4 linked regions of the Saccharomyces cerevisiae S288C genome follow. Changing the gene in region 2 together with the main gene of any one other region gives a genetic interaction. Each region holds a gene or a part of one and is shown on either strand. Other genes may lie near its edges.

Region 1 (4,309 bases), on a different chromosome or scaffold from region 2:
ATTGGCACCCCTCCTCAAAAAGTTACTGTGCTTGTCGACACTGGTTCTTCTGATCTATGGGTCACGGGTTCAGACAACCCATACTGTTCCACTAAAAAGAAGGATACCACTGGCTCATCCTTTAAACAAGTAAACAAGGATGCTTTGGCTAGCGTGGTTGAGAGTGTGTTTACTGAAATTAGCTACGACACCACTATAGTTACCAGCGAAGCCACTGCTACTTTTGATAGTACAGCTTCTACATCACAGTTAATTGACTGCGCTACATACGGGACATTTAATACCTCTAAGTCGTCTACATTCAACTCCAATAATACAGAATTTTCGATCGCCTATGGTGATACGACTTTTGCATCTGGTACCTGGGGCCATGATCAATTGAGCTTGAACGATTTGAACATTACGGGTTTATCATTTGCTGTAGCAAACGAAACAAACTCAACAGTTGGTGTCTTGGGTATTGGTTTGCCTGGCTTGGAGTCAACTTATTCTGGTGTTTCTCTCAGCTCTGTACAAAAAAGCTACACTTACAATAACTTTCCGATGGTGCTAAAGAATTCGGGTGTAATAAAATCAACAGCTTATTCTTTATTCGCAAATGATTCTGATTCGAAACATGGTACCATTTTGTTTGGCGCTGTGGATCATGGAAAATATGCGGGCGACCTATACACAATTCCCATCATTAATACTTTGCAGCATCGCGGCTACAAGGATCCAATTCAATTCCAAGTCACTTTACAAGGATTAGGTACGTCGAAAGGGGATAAAGAAGACAATCTGACAACCCTAACCACTACAAAGATCCCAGTCCTGCTAGATTCAGGTACGACCATATCGTATATGCCAACTGAGCTGGTAAAAATGCTTGCCGACCAGGTCGGAGCTACTTACTCTTCTGCATATGGTTACTACATAATGGATTGTATCAAAGAGATGGAAGAAGAGAGTAGCATCATCTTTGATTTTGGTGGATTCTATCTTTCTAATTGGTTAAGCGATTTTCAGCTAGTCACAGATAGTCGTTCAAACATTTGTATACTAGGTATTGCACCGCAGTCAGATCCGACCATTATTTTGGGTGATAACTTCTTAGCTAATACTTACGTGGTATATGATCTGGACAATATGGAGATATCAATGGCTCAGGCTAACTTCAGCGACGACGGTGAATACATTGAGATTATAGAGAGCGCGGTTCCAAGTGCTCTTAAAGCACCTGGTTACTCAAGCACTTGGTCTACATATGAAAGTATTGTCTCCGGCGGCAACATGTTTTCCACGGCAGCTAACTCCAGTATATCGTACTTTGCTTCCACGTCTCATTCGGCAACAAGTTCTTCCAGCTCCAAAGGCCAAAAAACCCAAACAAGTACGACAGCTCTCTCTATTTCAAAATCTACCTCAAGTACTTCCTCAACAGGAATGTTATCTCCCACCTCAAGTTCATCTACGAGAAAAGAAAACGGAGGACACAATCTGAATCCTCCATTTTTCGCCAGGTTCATTACAGCTATTTTTCATCACATTTGATAAATCCCTCCCTCCATATAAGCATTTACTAGACTTTAAAAGTTGCAATGTATATCTGGAGGTATAACATTGTACATTACTTGAAAGAAAAGCGTCTTTTAACGTAAAATAAATAATACTGTTCTTTTTTATTGTTACTGGCTTCTTAATCAACAATTATATACTTCGACGCAAAAAGCCGGGTAAAACATTCTATCTGCCATTGTCAAAAAATATGAAAGAATTTTTTACATATAACTACATTGCATTAGTATCACCAAATCAATAATGAAATAATAGCTAAAAACTATATATTGAAGGAAATATAGTTTATCATATATATCCTCTAGTGAAGCTACTATAGATAGAAATTATTTAGCATTTCAGGATAGTTCGTTTCTCCCTTTTTTCCCCTTTGTTTTCTCTCATAGTCTTGTAACCTCAGCTTTTGTTCATTATGAGTGAAAGTGGTCAAGAACAAAACAGAGGCACAAATACATCACCAAATAATGCTGAAAATAATAATAATTCAAATGCAGCTTCCGGTCCACTCAATGGTGGTGCTGAGCAAACAAGAAACATAACCGTTTCCATTCAGTATTCCTATTTCACTCCGGAGAGATTAGCACATTTGAGCAATATATCTAATAATGATAATAACGAAAACAACAGCGCAGCATCCGGTAGCACGATTGCCAACGGTACTGGGCCCAGCTTTGGCATCGGAAATGGGGGCCATCAACCCGACGGTGCTCTTGTTTTATCTTTTCGTGATGTTCCTGCGTCTACTCCACAAGACCGTTTGAACAGCTTCATATCTGTTGCTGCTCAGCTTGCAATGGAGAGATTCAACAGACTATTAAATAGACCAAAAGGAATATCAAAGGATGAGTTTGATAAGCTCCCCGTTCTGCAAGTTTCTGATCTACCCAAGGCCGAAGGGCCCTTATGTAGTATATGTTATGACGAATATGAAGATGAAGTTGATTCAACTAAAGCAAAAAGAAAAAGGGATTCTGAAAATGAGGAGGAATCTGAAGGAACAAAAAAAAGGAAGGATAATGAAGGTGCGCCCCTACGCACAACCGCCGATAATGACAGTAACCCATCGATTACAAATGCTACGGTTGTTGAACCGCCTTCTATTCCTCTCACTGAACAACAACGCACTCTCAATGATGAAGAAACAAATCCAAGCTACAAACACTCACCAATCAAGTTACCTTGTGGCCACATTTTTGGGAGGGAATGTATCTACAAATGGTCAAGATTAGAAAATTCTTGTCCCCTTTGTAGACAAAAGATCAGCGAATCTGTAGGTGTTCAACGTGCAGCCCAACAAGATACGGATGAAGTAGCAGCTAACGAAGCTGCTTTTGAACGTATTAGACGAGTTTTATACGACCCAACTGCAGTGAATAGCACTAACGAAAATAGTTCCGCCCCATCCGAAAACACGTCCAATACAACGGTTCCCACTATCGGAAATGCAAGTTCTGGCGAACAGATGTTATCAAGAACAGGCTTTTTTTTAGTGCCTCAAAACGGCCAACCTTTACACAATCCAGTCCGTTTACCGCCTAATGATAGCGATAGAAACGGTGTCAACGGGCCGAGCTCAACTACTCAAAATCCACCCTCTAATTCTGGTGGTTCGAATAACAATCAAAGTCCGCGCTGGGTTCCCATCCCTTTGACTTTGTTCCAATTCCACAGTCCAAATCCGAATCCTTCCGCTTCTGATTCTTCGGCAAGCCCATCAGCAGCGAACGGTCCAAACTCAAATAACACTAGTAGTGACGCTACAGACCCTCACCACAACAGACTAAGAGCCGTTTTGGATCACATATTCAACGTTGCTCAGAGGGGAACTTCTGATACCTCTGCAACAACAGCACCCGGAGCACAAACTGTTCACAACCAAGGACGTAATGACTCATCGTCCTCTGATACAACGCAAGGAAGTTCCTTTTTGGAAAATATTTCACGATTAACAGGCCATTTTACGAATGGCTCAAGAGACAACAATAACGACAATAACCATAGCAATGATCAACAACGAGGTGGAAGTACTGGTGAGAACAACAGAAATAACTTGTTTTCCTCCGGTGTTGCCAGTTATAGAAATCAAAATGGTGATGTTACTACCGTCGAACTACGCAACAACAATTCTGCTGCCTTTCCTCCTACAGACGAAAATCCCTCTCAAGGCCAAGGTTCAAGCAGTTCGGACACCACCATTCATAACGACGTCCCTAATGATAACAATGAGCAACGATCATCACAATAAACAATACCGCTTCTGAAGTATGTTAATATGAAAATATGTCCTATTGGCAGTCATCCATTTTCAGACATTATTTTCTACTCCTTTTACCTTTTTTTTATCTGCATCTTTATATATATATATCATATACTTATTTTTCTTTACTTCTACTTAAAGTTCTATAATCATTGTTAATCAGAAATTTGCATGTCTCCAGCAAGTAAATATGAAGGCCGAGAAATTAAACCACCGACATAACCTCCTCTGAAAAGTCGTTTCGCAAAACAGTAAAAGGTGAAAACACTTTTAAGAACTGTGGAACACAAACTGTGTTTTCTTACCATAAAATCTTTTACCGGAGGTCGAAATCGTTTTCTTTCTGATTTGGAATTCGACGCTCGAAAAGTGCAGAGATCTCATATTGTTAACGGACTATCATCTAACTTTTTGCATAATTTATACAACATGCTCAGATATCATATGCAAGGTTTTAGTGGGTACGGTGTCCAGTATTCTCCCTTTTTCGATAAC
Region 2 (6,242 bases):
AGTTGGTTGATATTGATGATGTGGCATTTAGTAGTCCAACTAGGGGTATTCCAAGAACCAGCGCGACAAGCAAGGGATCAAATGCACAACTTCTCTCTAATTATGGAGATGAAAATAACCAGTCTCAAGATTCTGTTTGGGATGAGGGCAGAGATAATCCTATACTCTTGGAAGATGAAGACCCTTGAAAGCACTCGCACGCATAGTTTTATATTTTTTATTCTTTTCCTCTTTATTTTTATTTTTTTAACATTCTCGCATAATAATAGTAACAGCAATAAAATAACTAGTAATATACATACTCACATAAATAGGCATATTTTTTATTTTGTTCTTTCGTATTCAGAATGGTAAATTTTTCTAATGAAATGTTTTACAAAAATTTTTTTTCTATAATTCTAACAATAAGAAATAAAACAGTGGAAAAACATATAACTTAATGTAGATATATATATGTAAATATGCTAGCATTCATTTTAAATGTAAGGAAGAAAACGCCTTTAACTTTCATCTGGTAAATTTTCTAAAGCTCTACCCTTAGTGTAAACCTCGTCTTTTACATTCTGTACAGTACTTTTGAACCATTGAATGAACAGCACAGTTGCTTGGAAAAAGAACGTAAATGACTCTAATGCTATCAGTAGTCCGAAATAAATATCTTGCATCCTTGTCCATGTTGGGAATGATTCGTTAAGCGATAAAGTGAAACTCCTGGATCCATGGCTAATATCGATAATCTGCTTTGTAGAAACATCACGTAAAAATACTAAGGATAAAATAATAATCGGCAAGACGTAAATTACCATGTGCAGGAAACCTTGTTTAAACAGTTCCAAAGCCATTGTTTTCAAGAAGTTCAATTTACTAGTATTTCTGTTTCTGAAAAATAGTTTCAATGACTTATATCCGGTTCCGAAATTGACCATTGACGAAATGATCCAAACGACGAATAACAAACTCTCGTCATATTTAAACCATTTGGAATTACCAATAGTGTATGAAGAATTGCCAAACACTCTGATGGTGAGATAATTGTAACAGGCTAGTATACCATCGGTTAAGACGACCCACGAAACCATAGTTCTAATAACCGCAATCATGATAGCTATAAACACCATCAGGTTATACTTCACCAACATACTATCAAATATACTGTTAAAGATGGCCATGAAAATTCCTTGACCCTCTTCCACATTATTGATATTATTAACAGGGGCATTGTTGATATCTCTCTCTGGTATATCGTGTTCCACTTCCTCTACTTCGTTTTCGTCAACGGCATGTTCATCGAGAGTGTTTTGGCCTTCTGTAAAATGAAGAATATCCTTAGCAATCTTGGATAAACAAACAGATCCGACACAGACATAATAAATGTTCAAATAGGAGTAGCTAATGTCAGAGAGTTCCTTCCATGCAACATAGACCTTATTTCTTTCACCTAACAATAGCTTTACGACTGGAAGAAAGCCGAAACTACAAACAAAGTTTATTAAAGCTTGACTAATAAATGTAACACCAAGCATTAAAATGGAAGCAAATAACCAAACCAGGCCAAGCAATGTCATATAGCGTAAACGGAAATCTGGAGGGACGTAAACGATATAATATTGATCATATTCCGTGTTTTGTTCGTCTAAATAACCAAATTCACCAGCAGCACGTTTGTTTCTCTCTTTAATTCTTTCCAAATCTAATGGTTTCAACAGCTTATCATCCTTTGTAACGGGGACAAACATTGTTTGTACATAATTTCTGGATACTATATCAGAAGAAGGAACACGCATTAAAACGCCATCGGGGACAAAATAAGCATGAACGTCACGAACTTGCCCAAACAATTCTTCTGCTTGTTCTAGAGTCTTTGGTTTAGTGAAAAGTTCTTGGTTTGACCATTCTGCATTCTTGGCAGCAATGTACTTGTAAAACAAATTGCGGTAAACAATATGGCCTCTCTCTGTTGGGGTATCTTTACCTAAGATAAAGGATGATAAACGTAATTTTCTTGAACATAACTTAAAAATTGTTTTCCAATACCTTTCCAATAAGGGTTTAACGTAAGAGCTAGACTCCAGGATCCTCTTCGTAAAATATAAAGTTAGCAAAATTGTATTGAACTTCCATGAAATAATTGATGTTGGTTTATAAGCTTCAGGAACGGATAATAAGTTCGATTTGAGCATGAATGGGAAAAAAATTCTAGTATGGAAGCCAAAACCTAAGACAATAAAAATCGCATAAATAAACATGGATAAGCAAAGCCTTGATAATTGAATACTCATCGGATGAATTAAACTATCATGCAAGATCTTAATATTAGGATCTTCTGGAGATCTGATAAAGAATAGAACACCTGGTCTAATGATATTTTTCCTAATCATTCCGATATATTTGGCAAACCAATACATGTAGAGAGTACCAATCGTCCAGTATACGAAAAGGGAAAATGGAGGCCATATTGCGCATATTGAAGGAACCCAAAGCATCCGACTATTGGATGCCAGGATTGGGCAAAATAATGAGAAATCTAGCATTACACCAGCTAGAATGGGGAATCCAGCCAATTCGATGAAAAATAAAGTGAACACCTTGAAAGTGCATTTGAGTGCAAATAAAATCTGGAAAATCAGCCTTCTAGTAGGGTTGCTCATTCCGTTCTCACGGCCATAACCCCTCGAGACAAGATTGGATGAAGCACAAACGATACTGACTGAGGTTAGATACGTCGTTAAAGCAGGTAAAGCTCTGATGAAAATTGAGTGCTTCATGGTGTTTTCAGTGTAGCCGTTGTAAAGATAAATGATGTCATGAATTAAGTGGTCTGAAATCCAACTCATCGCGACATCTACTTTAGGGACCAGTTTCGTCAGCCCATTGTAAGCTATATGAGCGCCAGACAAGTAGTAAAGATGGCACAACCCACGCAAAATAACCTTAAATATACCAAAATAAATTTTCAACAAACCGAACCCAATAAAAGTTGGAAACAAATAGGAAATTGCCAGGTATATTGCGGTGAAAACTACGGCAATTATGAAATAAGCAATGACATTCAACAATTTCAATTTGAGATTTATCACTAGAGGGCCTTGTCCTTGATCGTCTGGGTTAGCCTGTGCTGGTGGCACACCAACAGCTGCGCCAAAGTCTTGTTCGTCTTGATCGACATTTCCAGCTCTGTTTTGGGCAGGTGGTGGGATGAAAACCGGAGCGTTGGGCCTGTTTATTGCGTTCTGTTGAGCAGCGATTAGGTCATCAAATTCATTTTGCGCACGACGATTTGCCCACATGTCAATCGGATTGGGCTCTATATGATCACGGTAATCTGCCTCTTCTTCTGGTTGCTGCTGTTGCTGTTGCCCCTCTGCTTCTTCATCTTCTTCGTTGTCACTTGAAGACCCCGGTAAAATTCGTGACGAATCATCACCTGATGGTAAACTATTGTCAGAGTCGTTGTTCTCGTGCTCTTCCGTAGCCTCATCATGATCTAATTCGTCTACGTGGCGAAGGTTTTCAAAATTCCGATGGTCATTAGGATCCTGAGGTGGAACGTTATCGTTTCTGGGATTAATAACATTATTATTATTATCTGCTGCTGCGGCTGGCATGTTCAGTCTATCATGACCTTGCTCTTGACGATTTTCGTCATGAGCTCTCATTTCCCTCGCTAAATATTCAACCATTCTATCATCCATCATGGGGAATCTTTCCTTCAAACGTGATTTCAAGTCCTTGGGAGATAATCTTGGACCTATCTTGTGGAAAACCATTTTACTGAAAACATCCTCTCTTACTATCATATCGTATTGAAAGTACAATGCTATATGTAGTATCACTATCATAATAAATTGTAAAGACGTAAACGAATGGTTTTGTAAAAGTTGGTAAAAAATTGCTCTCGTGGTTAATTCTGGAGTTGCTGACTGATCATAACCATAAATCAAACTCTTTAGGAAATCACCAGGATAAGGGGATGATCCATCTAGCATCATGGTGTATAATTTTCCAAACATGTTCCATACCAAAGGAACACCGATAATATATAGTACAGCGGCCAAACCAATCGTTAAAGCCAAACGAGCTTTTTCGAAAAATGTCAAGATGCTCTTGGATAGTAGTAAAGAAAAAGGTATCTTTTCGGGCATGTTTTCCGCATATATCGTTTTGAATTGAATGGGATAGTGACAGATGTCACATTTAACATCCGCGCCTGGTTTTGAAATGTCTATATTTTTTGAAGCTACCCATTCCAACAGACAGGATTCATGCATGTATTTAATTGAGCCCCTGCATTTACAAGGATGGAAAAGAGGATTGTCCTCAGTAGCTTCTCCACGACAAATACGGCAGGTGGCGCCGGATGGCGCATCATCATTGAAAGTGGCGGTATCTGTTTCCTCGTTTGCCACCTTATGCAGTTCATCTCTTAACCTGGAGACATTAACGTCAGAATCAACATCCATGACTTTCACACTTCTAGTCTCTTTGATTCAATTAGTGGTACTCTTGGCTAAAAAAACAGTTTTTGAAATCAGTAACAAAGAACTATTCTTAACGTAATCTTATGGCTTCATAGATCGGTCATAATCATCTTTTCAATGTCCTCAATCGATGCGTTTTCAACCAGTTTTCCGTCTCTAATGATTTAATTTTTCTATTGAATTGAAAATGGTAAAAAGATAGCCCTGTAGGGGGCTCGAACCCCTAACCTTATGATTAAGAGTCATACGCGCTACCGATTGCGCCAACAAGGCTATTTCGTTGGAAAAACTACTTATTTTAGGAAGTAATAGCACATTTAAGATGCTTGTTGGAATGAAACTTTAAAATATCATCTGTTTAGTACTATTCATGTTACTAATTAAGATATGGGTGAATTTTGAGATAATTGTTGGGGGTTCCATTGTTGATAAAGGCTTATAATATTATGTATACGGAATATACTAGAAGTTCTCCTCGAGGATCTAGGAATCCTCATAATGGAATCTATATTTCTATATACTAATATTACGATTATTCCTCATTCCGTTTTATATGTTTCATTCTCCTATTACATTATCAATTTTTGTATTTCAGCTTCCTCTAACCTCGATGACAGCTTCTCATAATTTACGCCATCCTCTTACACCGCATGTGATGCTATTACTACTAAATAGATAACATTAGAATTTCATTCCAACAGCTTTAGTCTGTTTTAATAAACGCAACAGCACCATAATGTTATTAATTTTAATAAAGCCAAATTATGGCCTGCTGATTTCTTTTCATTGGTAAAAGTTCTATCACCCGTTCCCCATTAGTATGATAACCGATAAATAAACTCTATTACCTGGTTTCTTCGTTCCAGGAACGTTTATACCCTGACTACACATTTCTTTTGAAAAATAGGCCAATTGAACAATTAAGTTAGAAGCGGTTAGAAAAAGGTATAATAGGAAAAAATGCATCCAATTTTTACAGTTGAACCACTTGGGGGATTTTATTCTCGTATTGTAGCGGGAGCATTTTATCTTCGTACATCTTGGAAGCTGTAGATTAATCTTATTCCTATATGCTCCTTCAATCCACACAGCAAACCCCCAAATGGAAACGATCACTGAGTATGTTATAAACCAGCTTACGCTTATACTATTATCAAAATTCAAAAGATTGAACGGGGAAAATGGTAGAAATGAATATTGAAGCATTTTCGCAATGAAAATTAACCGCATTGTTTTTATAGTAATTCTGATGGCTAACGGCGGTAATACAGCATCCTTACGAAGAGCGGGAATAGTTCATTTGCCCTCTTTGATGGTTTGCATAACTGCGTTGTTGATTGTCTTAGGAATGGAAATATTTAACAAATATACCTATAATGAAAAAAGGGTCCTTCTTTTTAATTATTATTGGCAGCGAAAAAGTTGTCCCAGCTTCTACTTTTTTTCCCGTTAAAAAAGGAAGCGGCGGAAGCTGATCTACTCTCTAATAATAGACTACTCACTCGCATCTTGGTAACGAGTCCCTTTAAGATCTTGGTACATAAAGTTTGCTGCAGCAAAAAGGGCTTATTTGCGCATTCATGATATTAAACAACACCCTGTTTAGCGTGTTAATGATCCTTGTTTTATGCCAGTATATTCTGTATACCTTATAATAGAGTCAACAGTTAAATCCTAATCATTACCTCAGGACTTACCTATTTCTGAATATCATGGTCCACCATTCTACCTCAGTGAATTGATTGAACCGCACCATTGGAATTG
Region 3 (5,248 bases), on a different chromosome or scaffold from region 2:
ATTTGTTTTGTGTATTATTTTTGTGATTAGTTATTAGATGGAATTAAAGGAAAAATATCAATGGACAAAAAATATTAGGGTGTAGAAATAAAGAATAATAGCAGGGCTTTGATAAAAGAATGTATCAATTACTTTTTGAAATTAAAGTTAAAATTAAAATTCAAACCGAAAAAAAAAAAAAATTAAATATTAAACTTGATATAGTAGGAGAAGGAAGTTGTATATTGTTCTCTATAAACACAAACAATAAAATGATATATTTGTTTTCTTATTTCTTCTTGATGTCTTCAGGAAAAAAGAACATAAACAAATACAAAAAAATCCTAGTACGAAACCTCAAAAGGGTGTATGCGCAATGTATATATATAGCAAGAAAAAAAAATAAACAGTGGCATTACAGTGCATGCGGATGGCAGTGTTCTTCGGTGGCTTTTTCGAAAAACCTAGAATGCGTTTAAAAGACTCAGACACCTAAGCAGAATATGCGAATGACTCGTTCAGTAAAATGCGACGCGACAGTTTGTTTTCGTTCTGCGCTGCTGTGTTCTCTATTCTTTTGAGATGAATTTAACGGCTATGGAATCATCTCGAGAAATCGGTTCTAGTAAGGCACCAAGACATTATGTCCCTCGGGAGGAGAAGGGCGCACGCGTCAGGCTTCCACGACGTCCGCCGTGCATGCGCTCTCGCATTTTTAAGGTTTAGTGCGGCAGGCGACTGCGCTGCGGCCAGCCCGTGAGACCACCCGAGGGAATTTGAGTAAGCGCGCCCATTGCGGGGTTTTTGCGGTTTGCGCTGTTTTCCGCACGAGGTTTCTCCGGACACAGTTAAGCAGTATATTTCACTCGGAAGCGCCGGAAAATTTTTTTAAGCGCAAATATATTCAGGTAAGCAGCAAAAAAATACTTTTTCCGGTGGCCCGTGATGTGTTTGTAACAGCTTCTGCGGTACTTTGGGCGGCTAAATGGCAAATAGATCAGGGGAAGGGTTTTTGCATAGGTACAAAATAACCGGATTTTGGGTAAGATTCGATCTTCGGCACTTGTGGCGAAGTAAAAGTGTTGAAAAAGTTCGCGTAATAATAGTGTTAGCCGTTTCAGCTTCGTCCATAAAGTACATATCCACAACTCTCATGGTGCGAAGTACAAACATTGAACGGCAGCTGTCTTGCTCAGCTAGTGGTATGTAAGCAGCCGCATTCTATTTTTATTTTCGTGCCTTTAAGTGTTAAAACCTGAGGCAGATTTTTTATTTTTTTGCATTCCCCTTCCTTTTTGCCGTAATGGCGCATTCAGTGCTGATATATTTATACTTCAATGGTGCTTCTCCTTACTTTTCTTATAGAAATAAACATCAAAACATGAACCTCAAATTCATCCGAAAATGACTGCGGCCACTCACCTTGCTTCTTCCCCACAAATATTTGTGTTCTCTGCTTTCTTTGTGTGTACTTTGTCTTGCTCTATATAACTTTCTCTCTGCTGCTGAGTCTTCAAATAGGTAGATTGATGCCTGTGGACTTTTATACAAAGGAGTTTGAGTGATTACATTCAAGATAAACGTGAAAAGTTATTATTATATCTTATGCTAAACAACAGTGTAATTGCGTTTGTTAAGCACAATCTCAAAATAATGCGCTAACAGTGGTGCGCATACTGCCATTTGTTATGGGCTATAATCGGATAGTGTATTCTTCTTGTTTGGTTATGTATCTCAACATCCAGGTATCCGTTACCCCACTTTGATACCAGGAACCTTTCGCGTTTTCTCTCGCTTTTATTTTTTTACCGCATACAAACAAACAAGAAAAAGTAGAAAACATATGAGATCATCGATTTTGTTTCTACTAAAATTGATGAAAATTATGGATGTTCAGCAACAGCAAGAAGCTATGTCATCAGAAGATAGGTTTCAGGAACTGGTGGACTCCCTAAAGCCAAGAACTGCGCATCAGTACAAGACCTACTATACTAAGTACATACAATGGTGTCAGCTCAATCAAATTATACCGACACCGGAGGACAATTCTGTAAATAGCGTCCCCTATAAAGACCTGCCAATATCTGCTGAACTGATACATTGGTTTTTGTTAGATACATTAATAACCGATGATAAGCCTGGAGAGAAAAGAGAAGAGACTGAAGATCTTGATGAGGAGGAGGAGAATTCATTCAAGATCGCTACGTTGAAGAAAATTATAGGCAGTCTCAATTTTTTGTCAAAATTGTGCAAAGTTCATGAAAATCCAAATGCTAATATAGACACAAAATACCTGGAGTCAGTCACCAAGCTTCATACCCATTGGATAGATTCACAAAAGGCAATCACCACTAATGAAACAAATAACACAAATACTCAAGTGCTGTGTCCACCATTATTGAAAGTGTCTTTGAATTTATGGAACCCAGAAACTAACCATCTCTCTGAGAAATTTTTTAAAACCTGTTCTGAAAAATTAAGATTCCTGGTGGATTTTCAATTAAGAAGTTATTTGAACCTTTCATTTGAAGAAAGATCAAAGATACGATTTGGTTCCCTCAAGCTCGGTAAAAGGGACAGAGACGCTATAATTTATCATAAAGTAACTCATTCGGCGGAAAAAAAAGATACGCCGGGCCACCATCAACTCCTTGCATTATTACCCCAAGATTGTCCATTTATCTGCCCTCAAACTACATTAGCTGCATATTTGTATTTAAGGTTCTATGGTATACCATCTGTTTCGAAAGGGGATGGCTTTCCCAATTTGAACGCTGATGAAAATGGCTCACTTTTACAAGATATTCCCATACTAAGAGGCAAATCACTGACAACTTATCCCAGAGAGGAAACATTTAGTAATTATTATACAACCGTGTTTAGGTATTGCCACTTACCTTATAAAAGAAGAGAATATTTCAACAAATGTAACCTTGTTTACCCAACTTGGGATGAAGACACTTTTAGAACATTTTTCAATGAAGAAAACCATGGAAATTGGTTAGAACAACCTGAGGCCTTTGCGTTCCCTGACAAAATACCGTTCGACTTCAAGAAAATCATGAACTTCAAATCGCCCTACACTTCGTATTCTACAAACGCTAAAAAGGACCCTTTTCCGCCTCCAAAGGATTTATTAGTTCAAATATTTCCGGAGATTGATGAATATAAAAGACATGATTATGAAGGTTTGTCTCAGAATTCAAGGGATTTTCTAGATTTAATGGAAGTTTTACGAGAAAGATTTTTGAGCAATCTACCATGGATTTACAAATTCTTTCCTAATCATGATATATTCCAGGACCCCATTTTTGGAAATTCCGATTTTCAATCATACTTCAATGACAAAACTATACATTCAAAGGGTTCACCCATTTTATCATTCGATATACTACCAGGCTTTAATAAAATCTATAAGAATAAGACAAATTTTTACTCACTCTTAATAGAAAGGCCTTCGCAGTTGACATTTGCTTCGAGTCATAATCCAGATACACACCCCACTCAAAAACAAGAATCTGAGGGGCCATTACAAATGAGTCAACTTGATACTACACAATTAAATGAATTATTGAAGCAACAGAGTTTCGAATATGTGCAGTTCCAAACACTTTCTAATTTCCAAATTTTATTATCGGTATTCAATAAAATTTTTGAGAAATTGGAGATGAAAAAATCTTCAAGAGGCTATATTTTACATCAGCTTAATTTATTCAAAATTACCTTGGATGAAAGAATTAAGAAATCTAAGATTGACGATGCCGATAAATTTATACGTGATAATCAGCCCATTAAAAAAGAAGAAAACATTGTGAATGAAGATGGGCCTAACACATCAAGGCGGACAAAGAGGCCGAAGCAAATTAGATTACTCTCAATTGCGGATTCCTCCGACGAATCCTCCACGGAGGATTCAAATGTATTCAAAAAGGACGGTGAATCCATCGAAGATGGCGCATATGGAGAAAATGAAGATGAGAATGACTCTGAGATGCAAGAGCAGTTAAAATCTATGATAAACGAACTTATAAACTCCAAAATAAGCACTTTTTTACGGGACCAAATGGATCAATTTGAATTGAAAATAAACGCTTTATTAGATAAAATTCTTGAAGAAAAAGTCACTCGTATTATCGAGCAAAAACTTGGTTCACACACGGGGAAGTTTTCAACGTTGAAGAGGCCACAACTATACATGACGGAAGAACACAATGTTGGATTTGATATGGAAGTTCCTAAAAAACTTAGGACCAGTGGTAAGTACGCAGAGACTGTGAAAGATAATGATGATCATCAAGCCATGTCAACTACTGCATCGCCGTCTCCTGAGCAAGATCAAGAAGCAAAGAGCTATACTGACGAACAAGAATTTATGCTGGACAAATCCATAGACAGCATAGAGGGAATCATTCTTGAATGGTTCACCCCAAACGCTAAGTACGCCAACCAATGCGTGCATTCAATGAACAAATCAGGTAACAAGTCGTGGAGAGCTAATTGTGAAGCTTTATACAAGGAAAGAAAATCAATTGTTGAATTCTATATTTATTTGGTAAATCATGAGAGTCTCGACAGATACAAAGCAGTTGATATTTGCGAAAAATTACGAGATCAGAACGAAGGTTCATTTTCGCGCTTGGCAAAGTTCCTAAGGAAGTGGAGGCATGACCATCAAAATTCATTTGATGGTCTGTTAGTATATCTATCTAACTGAGGGAGCTTCGAAGTTTAAACTGTTTCGTATAGGGATACCGACATGTATGTTTATAATATAATGATGTTTACTATGAGAAAAAGGCTGCCGGAATATCAACGGTTGCTGTGGTGAGAAAATCGGGTAACACCTATAGGGGTTCCATCACTTCAGATGCCTTGAACTTTGAAATCTATACGAATATAGGAAGACTGAGTTGGTAGACCTGGTAAGATAGAAGAGGAAGAAGGCTTCTTTATTACCGCAACTAAGAATAAACTTATAGCTTCATGCGAATCTCAAAAAATAGTCATAAGCGGCAAAGAACGAGGCTATATTTCCTCGTTACATTTATTATTTATTCGATAATACCCTGCCGTGCGGTACTCGTGCCTTGGCTGGATGATGACCCATTTGAAGCAACGCTTCTAGAAATGGGGGATGAACCATGGAGTAAGGACATCCTTTCAAGCACACCTCCGTTACATCCATCTGAAGTTACCGAGGATAACAAAAGCTTAAAACAAAGGGGCAATGTACCGCAATATGTCATCGATAATAGCCCTCTGCTCCATT
Region 4 (4,582 bases), on a different chromosome or scaffold from region 2:
AAGATCATGTATTTTGCGGTTAACCTGTTTTTTTTTTTTCGGTCAAGGGTTCCAAATGCATTTGCATGTAAAGTGAATGCCCTTGTCTTACTTAATATTACATAGACATATACTTAATAATCTACCACGTTTCAAATTCAATAATGCATGCTTCTTGGCGGTTTTTGACATGAGATCCTCATCTGTCACGAGGCTGATGTGCATACTTTTACTTTTAATCGATGACATGATCAGTTTCTTTTGAACAAAAAGCCGTTATGGGTTGAAAAAAAGTGAAAATGAAAAAGTCATCAGAAATATATGAAAGATATAATAAATTGTCGAAGAGAAATTACGTCGAGGAGGTTGAGGAAAATAAGAATGGCAACGACAGATATCATATCTCTAGTAAAAAATAATTTACTCTATTTCCAAATGTGGACGGAAGTGGAAATTTTACAAGACGATTTATCATGGAAGGGAAATAGCCTGAGATTACTGAGAGGTCGTCCGCCTCACAAGCTGAGCAACGATGTAGACACAGAGCATGAAAATAGCTTGTCATCGCCACGCCCGCTAGAGTTCATATTACCCATCAATATGTCACAGTACAAAGAGAATTTTCTCACTTTGGAATGCTTGAGCCAGACATTTACTCACTTATGTAGTCCATCTACTGAAAGAATACTGCTGGCCATAATTAACGATGATGGTACAATTGTTTATTACTTCGTTTATAAAGGAGTACGAAAACCGAAAAGAAATTGAAAAATGAACTTAAAGACACCTTTCTGCATTATTTTGTTTATTTTTATTATATGTATTTACAGGCTAAATTATATAATGACATCACAACGTTTCCTTGCTCTCTAAATTGAGGATCTCTTTGCTCCAAGTTATTACTTGGTCTATGGACGAAGTCATCAATTTTGTTCGACATACTATTCAATAATTCACTTCCAAAGGTTTGTTCCAGTTTTGAACGGATGCGGTTACCATCAGGTAGGCCTAACTGAACGTAAAGATTTGCAAGGAAAAGAAGGTCGGAGGAAAGTATTACAGAATCATCCAGTTTTTTACGGGCAGCCAACCAATTGCTGACGCAACTCTGTAGTCTATTATCAAATTGAAGATTATATTTCACCTGTTGTAGCTCTTGCTTACCCTTAATTTTGTTCTTATGCGCAATTTTGAAGGTCTTTGATTGTGCTAGTTGCGAGGCTGACTCCATTGCTTTACTTTCTACAAATTCTTCATCATCCTCAAGGGTCAGTGAGCCTATAATCTCCTCACAATTTTCACGTGCTTGCGATCTTAGTTGCAATGGCGTATTATACCACATAGGAAAATATAGCAATTTTGAAAACAACTTCTTGGTATATTCATTGTAATTTTTGGTGTTCAAAAAGAGCTGGTAGTCCGTTAGTCTGGAAATTTCAACGTCAACATAATTCAATAGGGAATACTCTAAAAGGCGATCCTTTTTTCTAACAATTGCTAAATCTTCTTCATAATCCGTACCTTTCTCATATTTGCTAGTACATATATTTTTATGTAAGAATTGTACGATGTTCACGTAACCAGATACTTTCGTTCCATTATCTAAAATTAACACTGGTAGTTTTCCATCTGATGATAGGTCTGTATTGTTTGAGAATACGATCTGCAATCCCGCAACCATACTCTTTGCCTCTTCTGAAGTACATAACTTGATAAACCATACAAGCGCAATGCTGTCCACTGAAATCAACGATGCTTTGCCATCCTTTCCCCATAAATGCACACTACCTTTAACCATTACTGACTCGATAATAGCCTTGCTTTGCGTTTATTTGAAAAATACAAATTCCAGCATTAAATAGTAGCCATTCTAAATAGCTTATTTCTTATTACATTTCCCACTTCGTTTAAAATGATAACAATCGTGACAAAATTGTCGGTTACCTTGTAATAATTAAGAAGAAAAGTGTAGCTTGTGTGATGAAAGAGTATTCTACAACGAAATAAAAGGCCAAACTGGAGAGTCAAACAAGAGATATGTCCAGCTCTACGACTCCTGATTTACTATATCCCTCTGCGGACAAAGTCGCAGAGCCTAGTGACAATATACATGGAGATGAACTACGACTTAGAGAAAGGATTAAAGACAATCCCACGAATATTTTATCATACTTCCAGCTTATTCAATATTTGGAAACTCAAGAGTCATACGCTAAGGTGAGAGAAGTATACGAGCAATTTCATAACACATTCCCGTTTTATTCACCTGCGTGGACTTTGCAACTAAAGGGTGAATTGGCAAGAGATGAATTTGAGACTGTTGAGAAGATTTTGGCTCAATGTCTTTCTGGCAAGTTGGAAAATAATGACCTATCTCTTTGGTCAACATATTTGGACTACATACGCAGAAAAAACAACTTAATTACTGGTGGACAAGAGGCGAGAGCTGTTATTGTCAAGGCATTCCAACTAGTTATGCAAAAGTGTGCAATTTTTGAACCCAAATCATCTTCTTTTTGGAACGAATATCTCAATTTTTTAGAGCAGTGGAAGCCATTCAACAAATGGGAGGAGCAACAGCGAATTGACATGCTCAGAGAATTCTACAAGAAAATGCTATGTGTTCCTTTTGATAATCTAGAAAAAATGTGGAATAGATACACTCAATGGGAACAAGAAATAAATTCCCTAACAGCCAGAAAATTTATTGGCGAGTTATCAGCCGAATACATGAAAGCCCGTTCCTTATACCAGGAATGGTTGAACGTTACTAATGGATTGAAAAGGGCATCTCCAATTAATCTGCGCACAGCAAACAAGAAAAACATACCACAACCAGGTACCTCAGACTCAAACATTCAGCAGTTACAGATTTGGTTGAATTGGATAAAATGGGAAAGGGAGAATAAGTTGATGCTTAGTGAAGATATGCTATCACAAAGAATCAGTTACGTTTATAAACAAGGTATTCAATACATGATATTTTCTGCTGAAATGTGGTACGATTATTCAATGTATATATCTGAAAATTCGGATCGACAAAATATCTTATATACTGCGTTATTAGCTAATCCCGACTCACCTTCTCTTACATTCAAGTTATCCGAATGCTACGAACTGGATAATGATTCTGAAAGTGTTTCTAACTGTTTTGACAAGTGCACTCAAACTTTACTATCGCAGTATAAAAAGATCGCCTCCGATGTAAATTCGGGTGAAGATAATAACACAGAGTATGAACAAGAGCTGCTATACAAACAGAGGGAAAAATTAACATTCGTGTTTTGCGTGTATATGAATACGATGAAAAGAATATCAGGACTATCCGCAGCACGTACTGTATTTGGTAAATGTCGTAAACTGAAGCGTATATTAACACATGACGTCTACGTGGAAAATGCATATTTAGAATTTCAAAATCAAAACGATTATAAGACTGCTTTTAAGGTTTTAGAATTGGGTTTAAAATACTTCCAAAACGATGGAGTTTATATCAACAAATACTTAGATTTTTTAATATTTTTAAATAAGGATTCGCAGATCAAAACCTTATTTGAAACATCAGTGGAAAAAGTGCAAGATTTAACCCAGCTGAAGGAAATATACAAGAAAATGATAAGTTATGAATCGAAATTCGGTAACTTAAACAACGTTTATTCTCTAGAGAAAAGATTTTTCGAACGGTTCCCCCAAGAAAATTTGATTGAAGTTTTCACAAGTCGTTATCAAATTCAAAACTCCAACTTAATAAAGAAATTAGAGTTAACTTATATGTATAATGAGGAAGAAGACAGTTACTTTTCTTCTGGAAACGGGGATGGCCATCATGGCTCTTACAATATGAGTTCGTCAGATAGAAAGAGACTAATGGAGGAAACTGGAAACAATGGAAACTTCTCCAATAAGAAATTCAAAAGAGACTCAGAGCTTCCAACAGAGGTTCTTGATTTATTGAGCGTTATACCAAAACGTCAATATTTTAATACAAATTTACTCGATGCGCAGAAATTGGTGAATTTTTTAAATGATCAAGTAGAGATTCCAACAGTTGAGAGCACCAAGTCAGGTTAACATTACGTTAATAAATAGGTATATATGAATATTTATACCAACACATCTATTATAATAGGCGAACCTCTGTATGTAATTAAGTAAAAAAAAAACGATGTGACAGGATAGTTAAGGTGCCTCGTACATAAATAAAAACGGAAATAGTTAATTCTTTCAAAAATATGGCAATAGCCAAACTCATTCAGAAGGTACAGGAAACACTCTGTTTCTGTGCGTTTATATAACCATGCTTATAAAAGAAAGATTGAACAAAATATACATGAATTTATGAACGGTAATCACCGTTAATTGTTACATATTCATGTGATAAATCACAAGTCCAAAATTGTGCTGCCTGATCACCGGTTCCCAAGTCGACAGACACTTCCAAATCATTCAAAGCCAATATTTCAGAAGCCCTTGTTTCATCGATCTCCAATTGTGGCACACCATTAGCGACAAGCTTCAGCTCACGAGGTTCTGAATTGTCGGTAGCAATAAAGCTAACATTAATTTTGTTGACATCTAGAGATTTTAAGTCATTCAGCTTTGC

The links.
Region 1: of SSM4 (region 2) and SAN1, changing one enhances a phenotype caused by changing the other (phenotypic enhancement), as found in Saccharomyces cerevisiae (2 studies listed by BioGRID).
Region 3: of SSM4 (region 2) and CBF2, a mutation in one rescues a mutant of the other (synthetic rescue), as found in Saccharomyces cerevisiae (2 studies listed by BioGRID).
Region 4: of SSM4 (region 2) and RNA14, a mutation in one rescues a mutant of the other (synthetic rescue), as found in Saccharomyces cerevisiae (2 studies listed by BioGRID).

Annotation. Positions count from the first base shown.
Region 1 is NC_001136.10:741,535-745,843, reverse strand, and holds SAN1 (ubiquitin-protein ligase SAN1), read left to right. Parts: upstream 1-1,969; coding exon 1,970-3,802; downstream 3,803-4,309. Other genes in the region: MKC7 (aspartyl protease), read left to right, coding at 1-1,533; PEX7 (Pex7p), read left to right, coding at 4,244-4,309. UniProt on the Saccharomyces cerevisiae protein: Plays a specific role in mating-type regulation of yeast, by acting post-translationally to control the stability or activity of the SIR4 proteins.
Region 2 is NC_001141.2:295,550-301,791, forward strand, and holds SSM4 (E3 ubiquitin-protein ligase SSM4), read right to left. Parts: upstream 4,461-6,242; coding exon 501-4,460; downstream 1-500. Other genes in the region: SUMO protease ULP2, read left to right, coding at 1-188; EMA17 (Ema17p), read right to left, coding at 5,280-5,708. UniProt on the Saccharomyces cerevisiae protein: E3 ubiquitin-protein ligase which accepts ubiquitin specifically from endoplasmic reticulum-associated UBC6 and UBC7 E2 ligases, and transfers it to substrates promoting their degradation.
Region 3 is NC_001139.9:765,607-770,854, forward strand, and holds CBF2 (Cbf2p), read left to right. Parts: upstream 1-1,822; coding exon 1,823-4,693; downstream 4,694-5,248. Other genes in the region: VPS62 (Vps62p), read left to right, coding at 4,963-5,248.
Region 4 is NC_001145.3:390,739-395,320, forward strand, and holds RNA14 (cleavage polyadenylation factor subunit RNA14), read left to right. Parts: upstream 1-2,016; coding exon 2,017-4,050; downstream 4,051-4,582. Other genes in the region: SEN15 (Sen15p), read left to right, coding at 361-747; SAM complex subunit SAM37, read right to left, coding at 794-1,777; ARG7 (glutamate N-acetyltransferase), read right to left, coding at 4,316-4,582. UniProt on the Saccharomyces cerevisiae protein: Component of the cleavage factor IA (CFIA) complex, which is involved in the endonucleolytic cleavage during polyadenylation-dependent pre-mRNA 3'-end formation and cooperates with the cleavage factor NAB4/CFIB and the cleavage and polyadenylation factor (CPF) complex.